Linked DNA regions of Schizosaccharomyces pombe. The protein of the gene in region 2 interacts with the protein of the main gene of each other region in a pairwise test. Each region holds a gene or a part of one and is shown on either strand. Other genes may lie near its edges. The genes, in order: mei3 and snz1.

Evidence for each region.
Region 1: the proteins of snz1 (region 2) and mei3 interact in a two-hybrid assay, tested with the Schizosaccharomyces pombe proteins (2 studies listed by BioGRID).

What each region holds. Positions count from the first base shown.
Region 1 is NC_003423.3:712,196-729,654, reverse strand, and holds mei3 (protein Mei3), read right to left. Parts: upstream 9,937-17,459; 5' UTR 9,850-9,936; coding exon 9,403-9,849; 3' UTR 8,665-9,402; downstream 1-8,664. Other genes in the region: serine/threonine protein kinase Vps15, read right to left, coding at 1-3,337, 3,395-3,972, 4,047-4,174, 4,227-4,312; copper chaperone Sco1, read right to left, coding at 5,105-5,896; lsb1 (SH3 domain-containing protein), read left to right, coding at 7,312-8,202; cmt1 (catechol O-methyltransferase 1), read right to left, coding at 10,889-11,689; ubiquitin-conjugating enzyme Ubc4, read right to left, coding at 13,429-13,674, 14,046-14,123, 14,203-14,322; 19S proteasome regulatory subunit Rpn3, read right to left, coding at 15,560-16,938, 16,983-17,078, 17,125-17,143. UniProt on the Schizosaccharomyces pombe protein: Acts as a critical meiotic inducer by binding non-covalently to protein kinase ran1/pat1 inhibiting its enzymatic activity. Inhibits ran1/pat1 by acting as a pseudosubstrate for ran1/pat1 instead of its natural substrate ste11.
Region 2 is NC_003424.3:5,409,116-5,416,693, forward strand, and holds snz1 (pyridoxal 5'-phosphate synthase (glutamine hydrolyzing)), read left to right. Parts: upstream 1-5,822; 5' UTR 5,823-6,070; coding exon 6,071-6,961; 3' UTR 6,962-7,078; downstream 7,079-7,578. Other genes in the region: histone lysine H3-K36 methyltransferase Set2, read right to left, coding at 1-1,699; spd1 (ribonucleotide reductase (RNR) inhibitor), read left to right, coding at 3,374-3,748; mtq1 (S-adenosylmethionine-dependent methyltransferase), read right to left, coding at 7,236-7,578.

The DNA.
Region 1 (17,459 bases), on a different chromosome or scaffold from region 2:
CTACACTAGTAGCTGACCCACACTGTAATGGTAATTGGTCTGATGACAAAACCCTCATCATTCCCACGTCTAAGTATACGATGCGTGACCATTTTGTAACAACGACTAGACGGATACTCCCGTCGTGAAATGTAGAAGCTTCCATGGAGGTTACAGAATCACTGAAATCCAAATTGGGAATACGACCAGCCGAAATTAGAGTATGCCGCTGATTGTTAACGTCAAGTCTGTGAACTTCCACAGAGCCATCTTGAGTAACAGAAGCAAAAGCGTATGTATTACCTAGAAAGCATCCATTGACCACAGAAAATCTATTCCTCTCGCCATTACGTCGCGTATGCCCATAACTTAATCGGCATTCACATCTCATAGTTGAAATATGACGAACACTTTCAACTAATTGCCATGCTCTTACAACACCGTCAGATCCCAAGGTAACGAAAAAAGATGAATCTGGACTAACCAAAACTTTCTTCGTACCTCCATCAAGAAGGCTTCCTAAATATATCTGAGCAACTCGTGATCCTTCTGGATGCCATTCATGAGTCTGAACTATTTTATTCGCAGCCTTCGCAGACACCTTTGTTCTACGACGCAAAGGTATATTAGAAGCCCAGCTTGGTGAAACAGCAGCACCAACGTTAAGTGTCGAAGCCGCTGCTTCTGCATAAATTTTATTTAAATAATTTAAGACGCATGGATTAGTTCCAGTATACGATGATTTTTTTGCGCCATTTTGCCTCGTGGTAAGCTTTTTCAAATCGATATGAGTAGTAAATGATCTTTGGCTTCGAATACCGGCAACATTAGTTGTATCATTCGTTGAAACCCTAGAAGAGATCAACGGTGCGAGGCTTTTCCCCTTCGATTCTTTAGCATGTTTGTCAGAATCTTTAGAAGAGACTATTGCTTCTACAGAGGAAGGCTCCAAAGTATTATTTGTGAGTAAGGGGTTCTCAGTATTATAAGAATTCAACCCACCGGTATCGTCCGTTGGTTGAGTGACTGTGGGATTGTGTGTGTCAACCTTGGAGCTAGCAGTGTCTGAAGGTAGTTTAATTTCAGGATTGTCCGTTTGTCTGTATACATCATGAGTACCAGTAATGGTCTCTCCATTATCAGAATTAGACTCCCTATTAATATCAACTTTGATATCTGATTGTGAAACGTCTTTTGGTTTTGTGGTCGTACCAAAAGCATTAGTCATATCCGTCCCTACATATGCAATGGGATCTCGAGCAATTAAGTCATCGTTATAGGAGCGGCTTGTTTGAATGGATTCTGCATAAGAATTTCTGTCCAAGAAAGTTTCATTGGCGATAGAAGACGAAGGGGGTCTTTCTGGGTTCCAAAAAATGGTTTCTGGTAATATGTGCAAGGGAGCATTAGGGTAAGTATTCAGTTCCCGTAATCCACTTTGTCGTTTATAGTTGATTCCATTTAAATTAATTTTCGTTTTCTTAACATAATCTCTCAAATTAGCCAGTACCCATAAGTGCTTTACATCAACTCCCATTTCTTTAATGATGTCAGCCCATTTCTGGTCATCTTCACTAAGCTCTAGCATTTCTGTGGAAGTTATAATCACATGGCCAGTTAGAGAGATTTTTTTGTGAGTATACACTTCTGCGTGGTGCATTATTTCTCTCTTTTGCAAATTTTTGGTTCTTCCTAAAAGCGAATCATTGCTTACATCAAGAGACGAGTAAGACGCATCTTTATCACACTTCCAAAAGCTTGAGTTTTCGGATTCTTCATACCAGCGGGTCAAAGTAGACCAAACACTATCAGATACCATAGGCAAAATAAATTGATCTAGCTTTTCTAAAGAGTTTATATCACATAAATTGGACATCAAGTAAGGTCTTAATAAAGGAGTTACAATACAGTCCCTATCAATATCATCAAAACTTTGATATGCAGAGTAAATAACAGACAAGGCAGCTCTTCGAATATAAGCATTAGGTACAGCAACAAGTGGAAGCACAAGCTGTAAGATATCAACAACAACAAGCTTTTCAAATAAGTGTAATTCGATCAGTCCAGAAAAAGATCCCAAGACACTCTCAAGGACAGCTGGCTCAGGATCTACTAAAGCCTGCAGCATCAAGGGAAGTATATACTCATCTACACTCCTTGGACCGATGAAAATGGATAGACCGGTAATACTTTCAAAAAATGCACAACGAAGCATCCAATCCGTGTCATTCAAGTAAGTTATCAGATGGCTCAAAATCAAATCGTTAGACTTTGCTTTACCGAAAAAAACACAAAGCGGAGCCAAAGCATTCAGCAAAGATCTACGAACAATAGAAGAGCTGTCCGCTAAAAGAGTAGAAACGTGCCTTTCTACAGTAACTACTAAATCGTGTCGACCGGTTTCAAATAACAATTCAGCCTTTCCATGATTTATATTTTCATATTCGGATTCAGGAAACGATAAAATACCAGCATTCCTTAATGATTGAGCCAAATTTAAAAATTTGGAAGCTTGTTTGGCTAAAATTGGAAGGCAGGATGCATATGTTGCTCGAGTACGAGAATTCATATCGAAAAGAAAATGCTGAAGGTCAGGAAATAAATACTCCTGAAAAAGAAATGCATTAATCGGAGCAATAGAGGTTACATTACTAACTAGGCGAGTAATCGTAATAAGCGCACTAATCCTTACATCGGCGTATTGGTCACGAAGCAAAGTCATAACAAAAGGTAAAACTGTATCAAGTTTGGACTCATCGCAGATGTTCCTTGATAAAATTTGCACCAAACTTAAAGCGTTTATCTTAGATTCTCTTGTATTCACGTGTCTAATAGTGGAAAGAACTATGGGAAGAAGAACAGCGGCACCATAAAGATGATTTTCATCCGTTTCAATAGATGAAATATCCTCAATGACTGAAGGAGAAGGTGCAGGTGTGGAACCTTGCTCTTTATCCTCAAATCCTTTTTTTTCTTGCATAGTATTATACAGTCTTAGATACCAATTCTTGGCAGCAGGGTTTTTATTATAAAATTCATCAAGTGTGGTAAAAAGGGGTACAGAATAAGAATCTATTCCATTATATTCATGAGGGGTGTGCATAAGGTTTGAAATGTCATTATTATTTGGGGGCATAATATCTCTGTAAATGTCGTCAATTCGAGAACCATACAAACTGCAAGCGTCATTAGGCTGCTTGGCAGAAAGAATTCCGCTTGGATCGACTAAACCAATACAGTAATCATACAAAGTGTCATAAAAGCATGCAGGAAAAACGGTTCCTCGATATTTCTGCAAATAGGCATCAGCCGACAATCGTTGACTGGGATCTCTGTCTAGCATACTTAGAATCATGTTCTAGAAGTATTATGTTAGTAAACTAACGTAGAATGAATTCTATATAAGATTTCTTACTTGGGTACTCTTATCCTCGATTTGCTCAAGAACAGACTGTAAATCGTAAGACCCATGGGCCTTGTAGCTAAAAAGCTGAGAAAGCGTAAAAAGAGGCGACTCCTCCAAAAGCAGTTCTGCAAACACACATCCAAGACTAAAAATATCCATTGCAGGCGATAATGGAGCAGGTTGTAATTGCGATGCAGGAACAAATCTTTCGGGAGCGATATTACAGACTCTTCGAGATGAAGTGTCAAAAAAATAGCCGTAGTCAGCAGGATTATCCTCTGGCAAATAAGTAGGTTTAAAAGAGCTAAAGTCCGATAGATAAGCCCAATTCCAAGAAGTAATTAAAATGTTTTCCGATTTAATATCACCATGACAAACACCAAGTCTATGACAATCGGAAATTCCCTTTAATAATTGAAACATTATCCACTTTTTTTCAGTCAACTCAAGAAAGGGCCTAGTAGAAATTCTATCATACAAATTGTGAGTCACGTATGGACGCACCAGGTAGGCAGCGCGAAGCGTAACCAACGTTTTTATATAGGGTACGGCATTTGGCACTCTATATGAGATATTCTCTTGCTCCTCTGTTGTTTTAGTTAGTCTTTATTCCCATAATTGATGCGATTCGCGTAAATGAGACTATAAACAAATGACCTACCCTTCAACAAATTTACAATGCTTGACAACGAAATTTCCGGAAGTTTATTTACAAATACTTTGATTAAAACATCATATCCCTTGCGATCTTGCATGCGAAACGTTCGCAAAAAATGTGAATCCCCTAGACTAAATTTCGTAACGTTAGAATTGCTGGGAGAATAAGAATTCTTTGACTTACCTTCTTTCATTGTGATATTCTGGAAGCTCTTCCTCGAACAATTCATGGAATTGGGGGGTCTGGATAGTGGAAAGCTGAATCCCCATAGGTCCTAAATGTTGCTTGCACAGGGCATCACTTAAATGTAAAAAGGCTAAGGCAATGTCGTAGATGAGATGGGCCTTTAAAAATCACAATAATGGTATAACGAACAATATTTGTAAATATCCTTATATCGTTGAAGATTAAATCTACTATAGATGAATTGTAAATAGCAATGAAAATAGTGAATACCTTTACTAGATAAGAGCAAATTTATTTTTAAATAGATATCGAGGAGAAGCTAAAAGTTCTTTGCATGCATGCAGATGACTTTCCCAATGAGATATTTCAGCTAAACAACTTTAACATGTAAAACGCACACGGGTTTCGTACATTATATGAAGATACATAATGAATTGTTTTTATTAAATATTTTAAATTGATTTAAATAAGAGTAATGGTAAAATCAGTTTCTTCATTTATTTGCGTTAAAGGTAAATGCATAGGGTTTTTGGATATGAAAAGATAGTATCATAAACACCTTCCAAAATATTCAATTTTTTCGGATTTTAAAAATAGTAATAAATTAACACGTTTTTAAATTTCCAGTAAGAATAAACTTGCAGAAAGGGGTTTTCCCCTTATGTCGAAATATTTCAAACCAGAACGCAGCGCTTCTCTAGCTAGGATTCAACAAAATCATTTTTACGAATCAAAGAGAAAAAGAAAATAAATCTGTGTACCGCCAGAAAATAGTGGGAAATTGTTTTTAAAAGTATTAAGTAAAAATTAGTGAATATGGAAAAAGTAGTAACCCAGCATAAAATCAAAACACATGAAAGGCTAAAGGTATTTAATTATTTCTGTTTCTTTCGGGACAAATAGTAAGAACCGATTGCACGAGCTAAATCTTCAGAGGTAGAGTTGCGACCAAATACTTCAATGAACTTACCCTCTGGATCCATCAAGTAGAAGAATACCGAGTGGTCAACCAGATAATCATCCTTTTTAGGGTCAATGTTCTTAGGGGTAGAAAAATAGACTCGGAATTTTTTACAAATATCTTTTATTTCTTCATAGGATCCTGTGAGACCAACGATTTTAGGATTGAAATCTTCAAGGTATTCAGCCATTTCTTGCGGAGGATCACGGGCTGGATCACAGGTTATGAAAATAGGATAAACCACGTCTCCAACAACATTGTTTACAATATCAATAGCTGCTGACATTTTGTCGAGCTCGTCGGGGCAAATGTCGGGGCATCTGGTGAAACCAAAGTAGATTAAGGAAAATTTTCCCTTGAAATCGTTATCAGTAACTCGATTTCCATGATGATCAATTAAAGAAAAAGCACCTCCTAATTGGGGACGACCTATGGTAGCCAAAACCTTGTCGTTTTGCCTCTCCAACACTTTTTTCTTTTCATGTTGGAAATAAGCATAAAGGCCAACGCTTGTTGCAGCTGCAAGAAGCAATGCTCTTATAGAAATCATTCCACGCCATGATTGGTATGTCTGCGTTCGATTGTCAGTAGCTAGATTTTTGCGACCGTCGGCAAAACGCGCTAGGCACGTACGATTCAAAGGAAATCGAGGACGAATCAAGCTGTAATGACAATGCCTAGAGAAAACTAAACCCCTTCGAAACATTACTTGATTTGAGTGATTGCCAACAATCGATTCAAAAATCGTAATATTTGGACAAGACAAAAAACTGAAGTTAAAACAGTAACAAAAGTATAACCAAGACTAGCAAGTTTTAAAAAAATTTAAAATCTTTTCTGTCTCTTCAAATACAAAACGGAGAAAACAATTTCTCACAAAGAATAAGCCTCTCCAAGTTAGTCCAATTTCACGTCAGTATGGGTATTTGGGTGGTAATGAAGACGTTGAAAATAGAATTTCACCAAAATTACTGCAAACATTTTAGCGTTCAAAAAAAACGTAATTTTATCGCTAATCCTTTAAAGAGTTCATATGCATATAGCCGCTTCTCCAATGCTGTAATTTCAATGTAATCTAAGTTTTAATACGAATGAAAATAGACACAAAATATGAATTTCGTCAAGGATCAGAATGACTTATAAATGAAAGAATCATTACTCAAACGGTTACTTAGCTTGTTCAAATCGCTATATTATAGTATGTGATTATTGAATATTTTTTTTTGGAAGAATAAAGACCATGCATACCGTCTATGCGGCTTTGCTGGAATTGTCAAATATACACAACTTGTGAGATTTATTTTTATTTTTGACAAATAATAAATTTCCGTTGGAAACCAATTATACTGCGCTGAGACGCATTTGTTGAGAGATTGAAAATTCAATTCACACAGCATTCTAAAGCACCAAAATCATTTTTTTAAAAGCCCAGATTTCAAGTCAGGATACAAAAATATTACTTCTACTTAGGGATGTTTTCAGGTACCTGAAGTGAGATTTGAAATTGAAAAATATCGTCTGGATAACTATACTAAGGACCTTTTTTATTTATACGAAAACACAGCTAGTGCCATGCTTTTTTGTATGTTTTTACGAATATCTGAAAGCAAAGGCTCTACATACGGCGAAATTTAATTGAGACATAACAAATGGTTAGAAATTCCTATTTCATCAAATTGTTCGATATTTTGTAGCCATACCTAGGAAAAAATTCTTTCTCAAATTTTCAATATTTTTTCCTGATACATTGAACTTGACAGTTCAAATGTTCTAAGTTAAAAATAATTCCACTTAATAACTTGCTCACATAATTCAATTTTTTGAAAAATTCTAACGAAAACTTATGGCACACAAGTTCTCATTTTACTATATAAAAGGATTTTTTTAAAAAAAATTGCATTGTTTTTCAGCCCCGGTGGAAAGCATTGGAATTTTGGCGCCACGATCTTCGTATGTTTTTTCCATATATATACCTACCAGGTATACACACCAAGCGGTAGTTGTAAACCTACCTTCCGCCATTACCACTAATCAGCAAAACTTTTAAAGATTGATAAGAATTAACTGAAATAATTTTTATTTGAGATCTTAAAGAGTTAAGTAATAAATTTCCATAGAAATATGGATCATAAAAACTACCTGAATCATGTTATTCGTGGAATCTACAACGACTTCCAATTCCTTGTTGATGAGGGCGTAGTTGAAAGGAGTGCTTTGGATTGGGTTCACGCAAATATCCATTTACAGGACGGTCCCGCTAGTCCTGTAACTGCTCCAGCTGCTCAACCTGTTGAGTCCTCAGTACCCCTTCCCTTGCCCAAGCGGAAGAGCTCTGTGGAAAAAAGAGCAGGATCGGTAGCGTCTGCCGTAGCAGCAATGTCTTTGTCTCAAAACTCTGGAGAAAAGAGGACACCCGAGGAACCTCGTAAGCTGCCTGGAGTGCCTGCCCCACAGAAGCAAAGCGAGGCTTCAAGTGTCAATTCATCTACCGAGAAGCTTCCCCCTCCTCCCAGCTATCCTGGACCCAATACTGCCCATAAGAACGTTGAGCGGGTTTTGGCGATGTACGACTTTCCTGGCCCTGATGCTGGTGATTTAGGTTTCCATGCTGGCGAAGTTATCATTGTACTTGAGCATGTCAATAACGATTGGTGGCGTGGTGAATTGAATGGAAAGGAAGGAATCTTCCCTTCTAACTATGTGCGTTTGTTGGAAGATTCTGCCGTTAAAGCTCAACCTCCTCCTCCTCCACCACAGCAAAACTATCCCCCAGCAGCATCTTCTTCGGCACCTCCCATGCAGTATCAGCAAACAGCATATCCACCTCAGCAAGCACCATATCCACCTGTCCAAGCCTATCCTCAGGCGCCTCAACAACCCATCGTGGTTGCACAACCGACCGAGCACAAGCACTCATCAACATTCAAGAAGATTGGTAGTGGTTTGGGTTCTGCATTTGTATTCGGTGCTGGTGCAACTGCTGGCGCTGATCTCGTCAATTCCATTTTTTAAATGCGAGTTCGTTTCTTTCCTTTTTCTATGCTTTTTTTCTTCCTTTATATAAGTAAAACTTTCTGTGTGGTTGAACTAGCACCTGTGTTTGTTATCGTTGGTGCGCAGTTGTTTTTTATTTTGAAATTTCCAAGTAGAAATTTCCGTATATCGCGAATGCATTTCCCTTGTTCATGTTTACTCCTTTGGTCTTTTGTCTTTTTCTCGACTATGCTTTATGCTTATAAAGCAACACCGCGGCATAGCTGCTTCTTCATAGATTGAGACACCTCATTTATGTGTATGAATTCGATATCCAAACATTGTTGCATATTCTTTATGATTATCGATGCGTACTATTAAATACGCATGTCTCTTGACTTTTGTTTATTTTTAGTGTTTTTCTTTTTACGACTTTCATACCGTTTATATTTTAATTCCATAATAAAAAAAATAAATTACAAAGCAAAAATATGATTAATAGGGAACGAATGACAGTGTATTAGATTTGTTAATATGCTATGGTAAATTGTTCTATTGCTTAACGTATATTAAAGCAAAAAATAGTAAACGGATGAGGAAGTATAAATTAGGTAGCCTTTGTTAGAGATTTAATTACGATGTCCGGTCAGAATCGTTTCCATTAAGCAATAAAAAAGAATCGACGTGGAAATCCCATGAATGTAAAGACTCACATTATTAAAATGGGAAGATAAAGTAAAAACTGGAGACAGCGAATGTCCAACAAAAATGGAAGATGTATGAATAATGATGAATCAAATTCGGTAACACGTTGATGGGGATTCCAAGAGAAAGTAGCAGAATTTCAAAAAAAAAAGAGAACGACAATAAAAATGAACCTTTGTTTAAAAATAAAAGAAGTCAACACACAATAAAGAATAATGAGACTATGAACAGAAATGAAACTCAAGGGAGAATTGTTATAAAAAGCGTCTGAAAGCACTGGGGAATGAATGAAAGGACTAAATTTGTTTTAATTTTTTTTCTTTTTTGTTGTAAAAATGGAAAACATGAAAATAAGTATGCAAGTTCAAATATAATAGCTGTATAGTTAGGATGAAAATTTCCTATAACAGCGGTTTAATTAATAAAAATTAATGCTCGAAAGAGAATTTCTTTCAATTTTTATGTGGTGTTCATATTCCCCTTCGGCATTAGTCATTCAGGATCGAAGAAAATTAAGCTAATTTAAGCAGTTGCTTAGCGAGAGGTGTTGTTTACACGGTCGGTGATGTCAAAAGTCTCGTTAGGTCGAGGAACATGAAATAGGTCCAGGATGGTTAGTTCGTTAGTGAGGTCTGAGGGAGAAAGAACTCTTTGGACAGGCTTAATCCTATAAACCTTTTCAGTCTGAATATTTTCTTTATTTTCATGTTCAATGCGTTGTGCAGGGGTTCGGCGAACACGTTTAGTGCGTTTCATGGGAACGCTATGTACCGATCCAGCTTTGGTAGAACGGCCGCGTTTGCTTGTAGAGCTGATGAAAGTGGTACCGGCATGGTCAACAGTTTTGGTGTTAGTGTTAGTACTGGAGCTTCCAGTACTAGTTCTGGGAGAAGTTGAGCGTCTTGCCGTATTGGTGCGATTTGGTAAAGCAGAAGCGCTGCTTGCTGGGTGACGGCTGTTGGAGGTGTTTTGAGAGCTCATTGTTAGAAGTAGAAAGTGATTGTAAAAGTAGAATATAGTTTGATGTGAATTAGATAATAGAAAGAATAAGAGGATAAGAAAATGGATGCAGAAATGAGCGACTAAGCACTCATACTTATACTAACGCAGCACATTTCTTTCAAACCCATGGCTCACGGAGGTTTTTCAATTTCGTGTAAAGTATTTGATATTTGCAAATGAAACAAAAAAAACTATTAAACAAATAAAAGATTATTTTTTTGTATACAATCACAGTACAGAAAGTGAAAATGCAAAATTTAGAAAATGATAGTAAAGACCAAATGAGAAGTAAGAAACAAGTATATTTTATGTTTTCAAATGAACTACTACTATTATATTTTCTACTCTTCATTTCCAGCTTTTAATGCTTGCGAAGTGGCATGCTACGCGGCGCGACACGCTTTTCATTTAGAGAGCAGCGTAAACAAATCAAACTCGTGTTAAGTTTCGATATCATTCGTTAGATTTCCTTAAAAAATAACTCAGGCTAAACAACATTGAATTGAATAACGCAAAAAACAGTATTACAGTAATGTGTTTTTAGAGATTGCTACATTCCACAATGCAAGCTTACCACTTTGCTTTCGTGCTCGCTCAATCATTGCATGAAAGGTAGATATATCCAGCTAGGTGTTCTTCGTATTTGCGAGTAGAGTAATTAGCAGTGCACATTTATAGTATGCAAGTTAACGATTTCTTTAGTACTTCTCTATTGACGATCATGCGTTCATCTAACAGAATGGGCACATTCCAAATGTAATAGTGAACAGGAAACTTAAATTACTATACTATACTTGACATTTTACACATCGTTTTTAGAATCAAGCAACGGGATTAAAAGAGAAATCAATTCATTGTCAACTATAATTTATAACATTAGCAAACAATATCTGGACGAGCAAAGAATGGGATCCCAGACACGATTGTATGCTGTATAAACTGGGCTTCAAAAGATCGTAAAAGGTATCAGATACCACATAAAGTCAATTATAAAAAGATTAGGGAATGCCTTTGGTACCTAATCTTTTTTAGCATAGCCAACACACTCCGTAACGTCGACAGCGTCTTTGCGGTGTTTATTGCGAATGACACCCTCAAATTCTTTAGTTTCAGTCTTATATATCAAATCCCATCTGCCGATGAAATCGAATCCATTGACATTGCGAACCTTGGCTTGATATCCTCTACGTTCTTCAGGACTCATATTAACATATTTATGATATTCAGGAGCACCAGGTGTTATAATATTATCGGCCACTAGAAGGGTTCCCGGAGCAATCATATTAAGTGATTCAATAACCCTCAAGTCAGGCACATAAAGGTCCTTCCAGTGGTCGATAAATACCATGTCCAAAGCTTGAAAACCAAGGTCTTTATGCAATAATTTCTGTTGCAGTTCGACCAAACTGTCGCAAGCCTTGCCAATCATGATGGTGACTATTTCATCCAGACCGGCCAACTTAACCAACTCGTAAGCAATCTTGGCATAATCCTCATTCACTTCCAAGCTGTAATAACGACCACCAGGAATTTTGGAGATTTCATTTCCAAACAAAATAGCTGAGTAGCCCAAATAGCCGCCTAACTCAACCATGATTTTCGGCTTCCGTTCACGAATTTTCCCAACGATAAATCCACCTTTAACATCTCCTATACACATTCTCACTCCAGATCCGTCTGGATACGTGAATTCATCGATTTCCTTAAGAACCAACTCAGGATGCCCGCGAATCGCATCCAAGCGCTCTTGAGGCAGATTTTGAATGTGTTGCAGAAACAGCTGTTCCTTTTCACTACCGTTGTCTTCCATATGAGGCATGATTTCAAATTTCGAAAGGTTGGTTAAAAGTTGATTTTCAGCTCTGCATACGCAATACCATGCACTTTATATAGTTACGAGGGATGGAATGTTGCTGAATTCGATGCACCTCGTATGTTGTCACTACGCCACGCATCTTTACAAACTACCCACCGTATCATAGGACATCTAGCACATCTAGAGACCGAGGCTCGGTGAGTCAAGACCCTTATGTTACAGCAGTACCTTTATACTTTGCGCCATATGGAAACTTTGGACTTTGAGGCAACAGAATAGCAGACTACACTGCGTTGCACTGAAGGAATTGTGAAATATATTGAAACAAAACAGTGTTTCTGTAAACATAGATCCGCAAGTATATGATTTTACACTATTTGATTTTGGGTGAAACATCAACGCAATTACAACGTATCGTTATAGTTTAATAACAGACTGTATTGAATAATCGATATTGTTCGTTATGTGATAAACATTTCGAGTGCAAATGTACCGGATCTAGAAACATCAGATTCATCTGTATGTACTGCATAAATTTATTTATAATTGTTCAGCTCTTTCTCCTATTGTTAAACTATTATTATTGTTATGAAGTACATGATTTTAATTCGCTAAATTCGATCCACACCGTCAAGTTTTTATGCGTTTGCAACTCAAAAACATGGTATTTCGCTACAAACTCAAATTGGTTCCGATCAACTGGTTATTTTTTATGTTTAAGAAAACATTTCATTTTACATTTCTTTCAACTTTCCTTTACCTACTAAAACTTCAACTTAAACAAGCTTATGATTTATCAAGTTTCTTGATTTTAAAAAAATGACCCCTAAGTGACTTGAACACTTGACTTTGAGATTTGGAATCTCACACTCTACCAACTGAGTTAAGGGGCCATGTATATTCTCTAAGCAAAATAAATAATATATAACAGTTAATTTAATAAATTTTTATTTTTCTTTTATGTTACAGGATACGAGAAGCGTTTTCATAAAAGTAAATATTCCATGAGTAAAGAAGAGTGAGAGGGTTAAAAAAAAAGCTCTTACAAAATATATATCTCAGTAATAATGAAATCAAAATTTTCGTTGATTTATACTCAACATCACAGCATAAAATAGCTCAATAGACGACGTTGTAAAGACAAATACAAAACTAGGAGTTGAATTGACTGGCTATTATGAGTTGTGTCTATAGCAGTATCACTTCGTATTGCATGTCAAGTATTATCATTTTCTTTTCAGCAAAAAGGCGCTACAAGGAATTTGTTTATTACTTAGTTTTGTTTAATAAATATTTTTAGCAAAACCTTAAAGACGTAGAGCCGTTTACTCTCTTCGTAACACGACTTTCCATTCGTGTTATTCTACTTTTACTTGCACAATATTTCACTTAATCGGCAGTGTTTACGTACCTTTTTAAAAATATATGCACAAACGCTCTTGGAATAATCCAACTGGACCCATTCGGTCTTATTAAACACAAAGAAAAATTTTGTACTATTCAAAAAATCATAAAAATTATCTAAATCAAATCATACTTTATCCTCGAACATAATACAGTTTGTTTTAAAGGCAGCTTGTATCCTCAATTTTACGATGCAACTTTACTAGCTACATTATCGCCATCCCCTACTATTTATTTAAAAAACCAAAACCAAAAAAAAAAAAAAAAAACTATACAATACATTGGAGAAAACAATTCGCAAAAGAGATGAATATTTAATATCAACACAGAAACAAACTCTAGATTGCGTATTTTCTAGTCCATTCACGAGCACTTAATTCATAACGGGATCTGTCAGTTTTGTAGACGTGCGCAATTTCAGGCACAAGCGGATCATCAGGATTAGGATCTGTCAACAATGAGCAGATAGACAGTAATACCTTTGATATAGTCAACGCTGGAGACCATTGGTCACGAAGGATATCCAAACAAATGCTACCGTTTGAATTGATGTTGGGATGATAGATTCTGGTTGTAAAGTTTACCTACGAATATGCTGTTAGTTATCATTAAAAAAAAAAGACTATCAATCAGATTCGTAATGCTACGCAATGTAATTGCCCTCGCTTCACTTGGATGGACGCAATCGTATAAAAATCGATAAAGTTCCGCTGGTAAAACATAAAGAAATGAAGATAAAAGGTAAGAGTAAACAATTATAAAAAAACTTCTGCGTATACTCTTTCACCATAACACTTAAAAAATTTTGCATCACTGTCAACCATACCGATTTTTCCAGAAAAACAAGATGCAATCAACTCTTCAATTCATATTGTATATAACAAACTTCCTCCTCCGATTCACAAGCTTACAATGCGTATTTACATAATCTACACAAGACTAAATAGTTACATACCTTTGGTGGCTTGAATGGGTAGTCCGTAGGGAAATGAATGGACAAGAAGAAGACACCACCCGCATAAGGGCTGTCAGCCTATATATCATGTTAGCTGCACAATCCTAGCAAGCAAAATTTTGGCAGTGCGCAAGGCACTATTACAGCCGCGACTTACAGGACCCATGATTGTAGCTTGCCAATGGAATAAATCATCGCCAACAGGGCCGGCGGAACAAGAAGACGGTGGGTCTTTTCCAAGATCAGCTAATTCACGGTTAATTCTTTTCAAAGCCATCGTTACTGGTTTGCTTTTGCGATTTTACAAAGTCAGTAGTTTGCTCGTGGAAGAACGTGGACGGAGGTAGAAATAACATATAACCGATGGATGCACTAAATCACACGAGTTCGACTTTGTCTGAGTAAGCAATTTTTCAGGATGGCGCAACTTGCTTTGTACCTGCAAAATACCCGCTAAACAGTTTGTTATCCTTTTAAGGATACGCTACGTTACGATAAATTTTTTCGGGATCCAGCATACTATTGTATTACAAATAGGGCAAAATTAAAGAGAATTACAGATATTATATTATGGGGGCGGTATTATAACGATTTATCAATAAAAGAGCTTGTAAGTGAACTGAAGAACGAGGATCAGTTTAACTGACGACATGATGGCTAACTCAGAAACTATTTTACTTGTGAAATACAATATAGACTATATCAGTATCTTCCCGTATTTAGCGAATAGAGAAACCGGACAGGCGATATTTGATGATATGCGCCGTAGCGACCACAGCAGAATACACCATTGCTCAAAATATCGACAAAATTGTTAAATTACTATAACGTAAAAAATGAGCTTGCCGTTCCACTTTAAATATATAGTGTTGATCATATCTACTAACTTAGCTAAAATTGACAAAGTGGTAATGGGAGAGACTAATGTATAGCTTTGGTTTTATAAAGTGTTACTTAAGTCACGTTAGAAAACTAGCTTATATCCACTGTGGTTATTATTTTCTGCCGGAAGCCATTTTATAGCATTGCTTTATTTGCTCTAGTTATGCATAACAAAAAATAAATTTGCACAAAAATTTTTTGCCCATTTCGCCATTTATAATTAAAAAGACTAAAGTATACCTTTGATTGGAACCATAATCCAAGATCAAATCTGTATTGCTTCACAGCATAACCATAAATGTGTTTGCATACGTGTATTATATACGAAATATAAAACAACAAATTTGAAAATAAAGCACACGACCATTCTCCAAACCCCTGTGTTTTTAGCGTATTACTCATTTATTACAATGTGCAAAGACCAAGTCTCAGTTTAAACAACAAACGCATTTGTAGCGTTGTAGCACCGATCGAAAACTGTTTTTCAACAACTTTCCTTCTGTTACAGCTTCGCAAACTCACTAAATATTTCAATCTGTAAACTACATATAGTTTTCATAGACATTAAAGAAACATACAACTGAACAACTTTGAAAGTATATTTTAAGATCTATAAACTTTCCATAAGTTTTTTAAAATTCGCCCAAATCAGGCTCATCGTCATCTAAATCTGCCTCAGCCATTTCTTTATCCATACGCCTACGTGCCTCTTCCACACCTTCGAGTTCACTTTTGTGAGCATCCATGGGATATCGCATACTTTTTATGCTGTCATTATGAAGGGCAAGACAAAACTGAATACGTTCATGAAAAGCTTGTTGAGGCTGCTCGGTGGAATAAATATCCATGGCTTCGTTACTAGCCATAAAGGCATTACTATGATCGATACTTGCATCAATAACTCCATCACGGATGCCCTTAGCAACAATGTACTCGGCACTCTCTTCACTGTCCAAACCAAGCTTTATACAAACATCACGAAGGGAAATACGGGAATAAGATAAGGAGATCATCCTCAATCCAGTCTTAATGACGGTATGGCGAAGGCGGCATATCAAAGTATACAATCCATCGAAGCGAAATTCAGCCTCATACTTGGAAAGCGCGTCAGTGAAAGCACAAAGGTCACCAATACGAACTGCCTGGCTAATACGTAAGTAAGGCACTAAAGTTTTTTCGAGAGATTTTTGGCGGAAAATGCGGCGTTCGGGAATTTCTCCCATAAGCAATTGTACGACGATGTGCAATTTGTAAACAGCTTCCAGAAATTGAACGGCATATACTGTGTTGGGAGCCTTACGTATAGCACTAACTAAATGTTCATGAGCGGTCGTGTAGTCAAGTTGAATGGCGCGAATTCGACCCAAATAGTATTGGTAGCGAATTGCCAAGTTATTACTAGCATTCGTAAGAAAGGATGTTTTCGAAACGAGACGGTCTGCTTGATCATATAGGTTAAACTGAATATAATTCCGAAGAAGTAATGTCAAAACCATAGCTTGAGTTTCAGAGTCGTGACGTAAAGATGCAGTACGATGAACGGACAAAAGAGTGTTCCTGCATTCTACAGACCTATTACATTTTTCAAAGAATAGTATGTAATAGAAATATAACTTGGCTGCAATTTGATCCAAGGTTCGTCGATCATAGGATTGCAAACGGGCGATTACCTTCTTAATATATTCAGCGCCTACCTCATATTTTTCATTATAATAAAGTGTCATGCTAAGAAGCAGTTGTAAGTACATATCCACTTCCGGAAAAATTGTGTTGCCATTTCCATTTGTAATAGAAGTGGAAGAATCATCACCATTTTGTGGCATATCAATAAGTTCCAATAATTCATTTTTTAAAGAATTATCAAAAGAATAATACTTCTTAATTAACTGGCCTAAAACATCCGCATTCAGTCTATGGCAAATGTTGGATGTGGTTCTTAATGATCGATAGACAAGTCTGGGATCTCTTTGTTTGGTGGCTTGCATTAAGGCAGCAATATTTGCTTCCACATCTGATCCTTGTTAGAAATAAATAAATTTTGACGCATTAACTCACCTTGCAAAACTGTTCTTGGAACTTCAGTTACAGTGTTCTGTTTTGTTTCACCAGAATCAACATTTTCTTCTTGGTTTACAGAATCAACCTGCATATCTTTTTAACGTTAATAAATACAAAAACTTTCCCATCAATAACAAACCTCTCTGATCATCAATCATATTGATACTGGTACTTGGTAGTGGTTACGTTCAGTGGAGGGCATATGCCTAAGCTTACGACTCACTGTGCTGTATACTTCCTCCCTATGATTATAAACACGAATATATTAAATGTTCTATTTAGTAAAGACTTTTGAATGCAATATTTATTACAGCATAATAGACGAATAATGTTTGAACAAAGTAGAAGATAGTATCGAATAGTTAAATAAATGAAAATACGCGTCTTCAACAAACATTCAATAAACGTAGCATTGCTCACGATTAGTTGTTTCTTAGCACCATAATCGTTGTATACAACTTGTAGAATGCACCA
Region 2 (7,578 bases):
AACGTGAACGACTATCACTAGGCCTAGAAGAATGTAATGCTGGATGTTTCTTGCTCAAATCTTCTGTTGAATTATTGATTGCAGATTTTATATCTCCCTTATCGCCACGTTGTGGTTCCTGATCCCTTAAAGGAGGATTACTTTGATTATTGGAGGGTTCTGCGTTCGTTGACTGTGGAGCAACTTGACCAGGCTTCCTTCGGGGAATTCGATAAGCTATCTCCAAAGATTCCCATTCTTTTAAAAGAGTTTTGGCATGATCTTTGACCTCCTCGTTCTCATGGTCGCAAAACTCTTGAACAACGGGCTCAATATTTGAATCTTGGATTTTATTTCTTGTTAGGCGTGGCCAAGATAACATGGTTTTTATAGAACGTAGTATAAACTCAATATCAATGCTGAACTTCTTCAGCATCAAACCAAAAATGTTGTAACCACGTAACGCAATGATCGAACGGCATACACTAGGATCTGAAGTCAAGAAAATGCGTTCCATTAACTTTCTTGTTAATAAGTCATCCTTAGTTTGCAGGAGAACGCCAATCACTTTAGTAGCAGACTCAGATGTCAGAGGAGTAGGTTGCACCTCTTCAATAATTTTGCTAGTTTCGTCAATTCCCTTTTTACGACGTTGTCGACGTGCAGTGATGTTTTCCCAGCTATCCTCTTCATCTTCAATACCAAGAGCCTCTCGGACATTCTCAGGTAGTTTCGATTGAGCCTCAGTTTGCGTCTTTCCGCCAATATACCCTACACAGCAAGGTTCTCCGCAATAACAAGGTTGGGCTTGTGCACCATATCTATCGACATTATAGTCAAAAGTAAGCTCTTCACCGCGAATAATATCTCTTTTACAAAATATACCCATTCTTAGCTTATCTCCTACCATCCATTTATCAACATAACAATTAGGTCTACAAGAGTGATTGCAAAATCTTGCGAGCGACCCCCTTTTAGTAGCATCAATATATTCCCCCTTTTGCAGCATCATGAAGTAAAAGTGTTTAATTCCCTCACTATCGTATTGTCGCATACGTTTACGAAACTTTTGTTCAGGTATAACTTCTCCAATGTATTCGTAGACAAATGTGTCTTTGGGTAAATTGGCATCAGCGCGCAAACCAAACCCTTTCTTTTCGGTTAAGAAAACATCCACCTTTGCAAATTCATGTCTTTGAAAGCGTTGGTTTTGACAGGATGGTCCACAAACGTTATCTTCGTCCGTACACTCTATAGAAGTCATTCTATTAATACAATTGGATCCGTGCCCACAAGCAACATTAACTCCATCTACCCAATGAGGCCGACAATCGCAAATCATAGCTTCGTTTTCTGGAGGCTTACCAATATTGGCGGAAGCATACTGACATTCTTGAATCTCTTCGAACGTAGTTAGCGCCTTATCTTTCGCAGAATCCAGGTGATGAAAAAGTTGAGGAGGAAGTGCCTCTTTTCTAACATATTTGCTTTGAGACCGAGAGGATGCAGACGATGGCGAGGACGTAGAAGGGGAAGGAGCACTTTCGTCTTTATTCATCCCTTCGGCATCCTCTTTACTTTCGAAATCATGAGATGACGAAGAAGATGGTGATGAACCGACTGCCTGGACAGCGATTGTGTCTTTTGACCAAGAAGACTTCCTATCAACGTTTTCCTCATTCAAAGGAGTTAAAACAGAAAGAGATGATGCCGTCTGCATTGTATGATAATGGACAAAAAGAAAGAGAAAGTTAAAAAATCTACAGTTTTATTGAACAAAAAGTAATTGCCGAAGGAAGCCAAAACAATAGAAAGAAGACCAGCTGAAATTTCACCGAAAATCTTCTTTTTAGAAAATTTCCGAAAATATCTCGATGCGTAACATATAGATCTTCTAACGTTTCAAAGTTTCGTGTCAAAGAAACAGTGAGATCAGGAAATTGTCTCAAGGAAGAAGTTGTGGCTGTTGGCGGCGTTCCTTCTTTACTCGCGGAATCCTCGTAGGGGCTCACAGTACCGGAGTGTAAACGACAACTCTTGACTTTAGTGTTAAATATTAAAGAAACCTATTAAAAGAAAAGGCTTTAAAATCTTTACTTTCATTTCATTCAAGCATCTACAAAAAATCACCATCACGCGCAACATTTGAATGCCATTCTTTTCCAGAAATTCCATAATAGTTGTTGAAGAAATAACACTGTTAGTGTAATAAAATTCACTCTGTTTTTTACACTCGGCGCCTTATGTAGCGAATATCTTTGAATTAATAATATCAATCATACTATGTAACTGTAGTAGGTTGTTTATCCAAAAAACATATGGTACGCAAAGATAGACACTAATTATCAACAATGAATGAATAAGAAAAGCTTTTTCAACGAATATTTTGAGTGAGGCAGTCAGCGTGCTCATACTGGATAGACCCAGAACAAGTAAGTTTACAATATGTTCAATTTACAAATCCAAGCATGTGGTATTGAATTATATTTGGTATTCTTTTTGTTCCCTTGGTCTTATTAATGTAAAATCATCATCTACCTGCATCTATTGAAGCAGTAATTAAACAGAAGTTTGAGAATCGGTAAAGAAAGAAACTAGGAATGTATGTAATAAAGTCATTTTATTTTGAAAATGCTCATCCTGTTAATTCTAGGTAGATTCTTTATTTCTTCAAACCCAACCACTTTTGTTAATATTGTTTAAACACATAATATATACATTGGCGAAATTGAAATAATGCTAAAATTTTGTCAGAGCATTAGTCATTGTTAATTTTAAAAAGCTATTAAACAAAAATAAAGGCTAAGAAAAAAAGATAAACCTATTCCATATGTTTATATATGTGTATCTTATCTTAAAAGGTCTTTAACTCAAGCTATACTTACTACAATCTATATGCAGCTACTTGTCCTTCATGGCACGACGGTGCCAGTAAAGTTAATAAGAAAACCATACCGAACAGGGGCCAAGTTACGATGAGACAACATGTGAAGAACAAAGGAAGAAGCGATTTCAAGCTTTGCAAAAGGTTTGACCAAATTTAACGAACAAACGTTTCAGCTGTTACCTTGAAAGCAGTTGGCAATAAAAGAGAAAGCGAATTTAATTGCTTTAAATGTTTTACTTTAACTCTTAGATATAAAGAGTGCGGAAAAAGTGGCAGAACCACAAGAAAACAAGATCTCAATCGCAAAAGCAATAAAACTGCAATTCCAAATTTTGTAGATTTTCTACCATTTATGAATAACGTGGGTTAGTGAAATGTAAAGAGATCCGTGTTCGATAGGCATTCCCCAGACAAATTTGACTGCTTTAAACGTCACAAAGCCGAGTAGCAAACGCTCCCACAACCAAACACTACACAAAGGTTCGTCGACAATTTATTTTGGAAAAAATGCACAGCAGCAAGCGAGTTATGACCACAAAGACTCATGTTGAGCAGCCTGAGTCTTCAATGCGTCCTCAGCTTCCCGAAAGCATTCAAGGCTCCTTAATGGACGTGGGAATGCGGGTTCGTAAATCAATTTCCACCGGATACAAGTCGAAACAAACCACGTTTCCTGCCTATAACCCACCGCTTTACAACACTGTTTCTGAAAACATTGCTTTAAAAAATACCGCATTTTCTTATGAGCCTAACGGTACTAAGCGTCCATTCGAGCAAGCAATTCCTAATTATAACTGGGCCAATCCTCCTCAAGACTTTGAAGAACCGGAATGGTTGAAGCCGTTTGACGTTGTCATGGAGGGTACCAATGAGAGATTATAAGCTAAATGTGAATCTCGTATATCTCTTCTTTAAGGATAATTTGACACCAATCCTCATAGTTCCAATTATTCCTTCGTTCATTAGTCTTTGACTTTGTTGATTCCCTATACCATTAATACATTTTATTATTGGTTTTGTGAGTGACGGCTAAGTGATTTTCTACTAATTAAACCCCCTCTTCTTTTGGGCATTTGTCTCTCCTTGTTAATTAAACTCTTTACATCTATGAATGATCTAGTCATATCTTTTTTTATTTTATCTTATTTGCTTATCGTTTTCTGCTTGACCAACTTATAATGGATTACTTTGTTGTCGTTGAATATCTGAATAGTAATTTTTTTCTAATACGTACATAATTTTTTGAAAGACTCATTCCTCGTATTTCCTCAGTAAATGTCACTTTTTTGGTGTACATGTAGATCGACCAAAGTAACCTGTTGCGGGCGACTTTTGTAACTTGTTATTTCTACTTTAAATCTTTTTCTTTTATGATGTTAGGGCGTTGGTAGGGGTTGTAACGTAAAAGGAAACAATTTTTGATATTTTCTCTACGGCATGTGAAAAGTATTACCCAACATGCCACGGAATTCTACGCTGTTTCAGTAATAAAATTTTATTATTATTATTATTATTATTTTTTTTTTGAAAAGATGTAATAAAATGCTTATATTTATAGATTACAAAGAGACAGTAATAACGTTACTCAGCTAACTAAAAAAGTGCAAACTAAACAGCGAATATGGCAAAAAACAGTCATATTTAAAAAAAAAATAATAATTTGAGAGGGAAAAATGGAATAATTTATTTAAAAACAAAAGATACCATAAAATCAATTAATCTACACATAAAATTTACAACTAGGATGTTATTTTGATAAAGTTTGTTGTAAATTTTTTGGTACTTCTACTCATCCGCTATTAGCTTGAAAAACAAAAGTAATTACTACCGCTTTATGGCCAACTAGTTTCATAGGGAGGATGACTGCATACAAAAACGCTGAAACCCTTTCAAATGAGTCTATAAGACAGCAGTGGAAAACGAGTATTTCAGTTTTTAGGTACATTGCAGTGTTATAAATAATATGTGTTTCTTTTCAGATTTTTTTTACTAGTCAGTTATTGTTATACCAATCAATTCCTGGTATGTTTATATTAAACAACAAACAGGACACGAGGAGTCCTTGAAGTATTACTACATTTCCAGTTCAACGATCTTGTTTCAAGGTAAACAATGTTAAACATTACTGCATAACAAAAATCTAATGACAATTGAAGCAGCGTATATAAAGCGATGCATAAAGCCCTTGTTAGGAAAGGCTCTACTTGCGGCTTCTTAATTAGTATTGATAAAATCTATTTCCATGGACATGCAAATATCTCGCAAGATGGATACATCGATCATTCTTCGGCGACTTGGATACCTCAGTCCCCACAAAATAAGATAAAGAATATTGGGTGTCGGTAGTCAGTATCCTAATCCATCAAAAAATTACGGACATTGCAGACGCTGATCGGTAACATACCAAGAAATTATCTGGTAGAACGCTTATATCCATATTTCCGATGCAATCGGTTCACGCCTGTTACCATTGATCGCTAAAAAATGTATGCAACTTTCCATAAAGGTAGTAAAGACATGACTTATACGCCGGATATATGATGAGCAATTTCATTTAGTAATTCTTTATTGTTTTGTACGTTTTAAAAGTATGACGAAGCATCTCAAAAGTATGAATTGTCGGATAATTGCAGCATGTAAATAAATAGGAGGATTCTTTTATTAAAGTCGACTTTAGGAGAGAAACAGTTTTTGTGCTTTCCCTCCAAGCATAACAATTTGACGTTAGGTTTAGCAGGTCGTTTAGATAAAGAAAGACATCCGCCTCTTTGTAAATCGCTTCAACATCAATTGTAAGTTGCTTACATCTTCTACGCGCCTCCACTGTATACTTATCGGGATCAATCAAATGGTTTCGGACATTTACTTCCTAAAGTAGTGTATGCTACGCTTCGTTATATTACATCTTGGTAAGCATGAAAATGTATATAAGGCGAGTGTTGTTTGCTATTCGATTAATTTCTTCCATCATCACAGTCACATTTTGTGTGTTGACATAAAAACTTGGTCAGGTTCTGAGTTTCGAAAGGTTCATTTTTTTGATTTTTAGGTGTTTTCTTTAAAGGATCCTTGTATCTCATTTGTCTAAAGGCAAAGACCATTATATCTATAGAAAAATCATTGTTGCATTTTCGTTTTACCACTTTATACATCCTATTGTTTGCTTGGAAAAAGTAAATTTTAATTAATCGCATCTACTTAATCATGTCTGCCGAAATTAAGGGATCTACTCAAGTCAAGGCTGGTCTTGCTCAAATGCTCAAGGGTGGCGTTATCATGGATGTCGTGAATGCAGAGCAAGCTCGTATTGCTGAAGCTGCTGGTGCTTGCGCTGTCATGGCATTGGAGCGTGTTCCTGCCGATATTCGTGCTCAGGGCGGTGTTGCTCGTATGTCCGATCCCTCTATGATCAAGGAAATTCAAGCTGCTGTCTCAATTCCTGTCATGGCTAAGGTTCGTATTGGACACTTCGTCGAGGCTCAAATTTTGGAAAGCATTGGTGTTGACTATATTGATGAGTCTGAAGTTTTAACGCCTGCTGATGATATCAACCATATCGAGAAATCCAAGTTCACTGTTCCATTTGTTTGTGGCAGCCGTAACTTGGGTGAAGCTCTGCGCCGTATTTCCGAGGGTGCTGCCATGATTCGTACCAAGGGTGAGGCCGGTACTGGTGATGTTGTGGAGGCTGTCCGCCACACTCGCCAAATGCAAGGTGAACTTCGTCGTGTGAAGTCTATGTCTCCCGATGAGTTGTACACCTATGCCAAGGAGATTGCCGCCCCCATTGATTTGGTTAAGGAGTGTGCTCAATTAGGCCGTTTGCCTGTTGTCAACTTTGCTGCTGGTGGTGTTGCCACTCCTGCTGATGCTGCTCTCATGATGCAACTTGGCTGTGATGGTGTTTTTGTAGGATCTGGCATCTTCTTGTCTGGTGACCCGGCCAAGCGTGCTCGTGCCATTGTTCGTGCCGTTACTCACTATAACGATCCTAAGATTTTAGCTGAAGTTAGTGAGAACTTGGGCGCCGCCATGGTTGGTCGCAGCGTTAGCTCTTTGGAGGAGAAGGAAAAATTGGCTACTCGCGGGTGGTAAATATTAGAGAAGGATTTATATTCTCCGTAATGCAGATGTCATTTAATGTTTAATTTTATCTGTTGATATTATTTTTACTCACTAAATAAAAAGTTTTTTTTTGTTTCATTTTGATTTAATCTCCTAGTAACTTTGAATTCATCATTGTATTAAGTGTTAGCTTAGTCTGGAATTTATGACTAAAGTCGTAAATGTTTGTAAGTCAGGTCAGATTCAAAACGATGTTTGATTCAGTGCGTTATAATTTCTTTGTGTTTTAGCAAATGAAGTCTTTTTAAATGTCAATGAGTCGTCTATCTTTTCTGGTGATTATTACCACTCGATCTTGATGTGCGCCATCCTGTTCAATATTCGCTTGCCAGTTGGTATCATCAAATAATGATTTCACTATTTTAGCTTGATGAGTGCTACCGATTTCAAAAACTATTAAGGATAAAGGTACAAAATCCTTGGCGTTTCTTTGTAACATCCTTTTTATGTACTGACTAAATTTGTAATAAAACTCATTACCTCCGTTTTTAGCTAAAAGAGCCAGCTTGGGCTCGTATTTGCGCACAGAAATGTCGGTTTGTGCAGCAAAATCATCATCAGATATATAAGGAGGATTGCATAGCAAC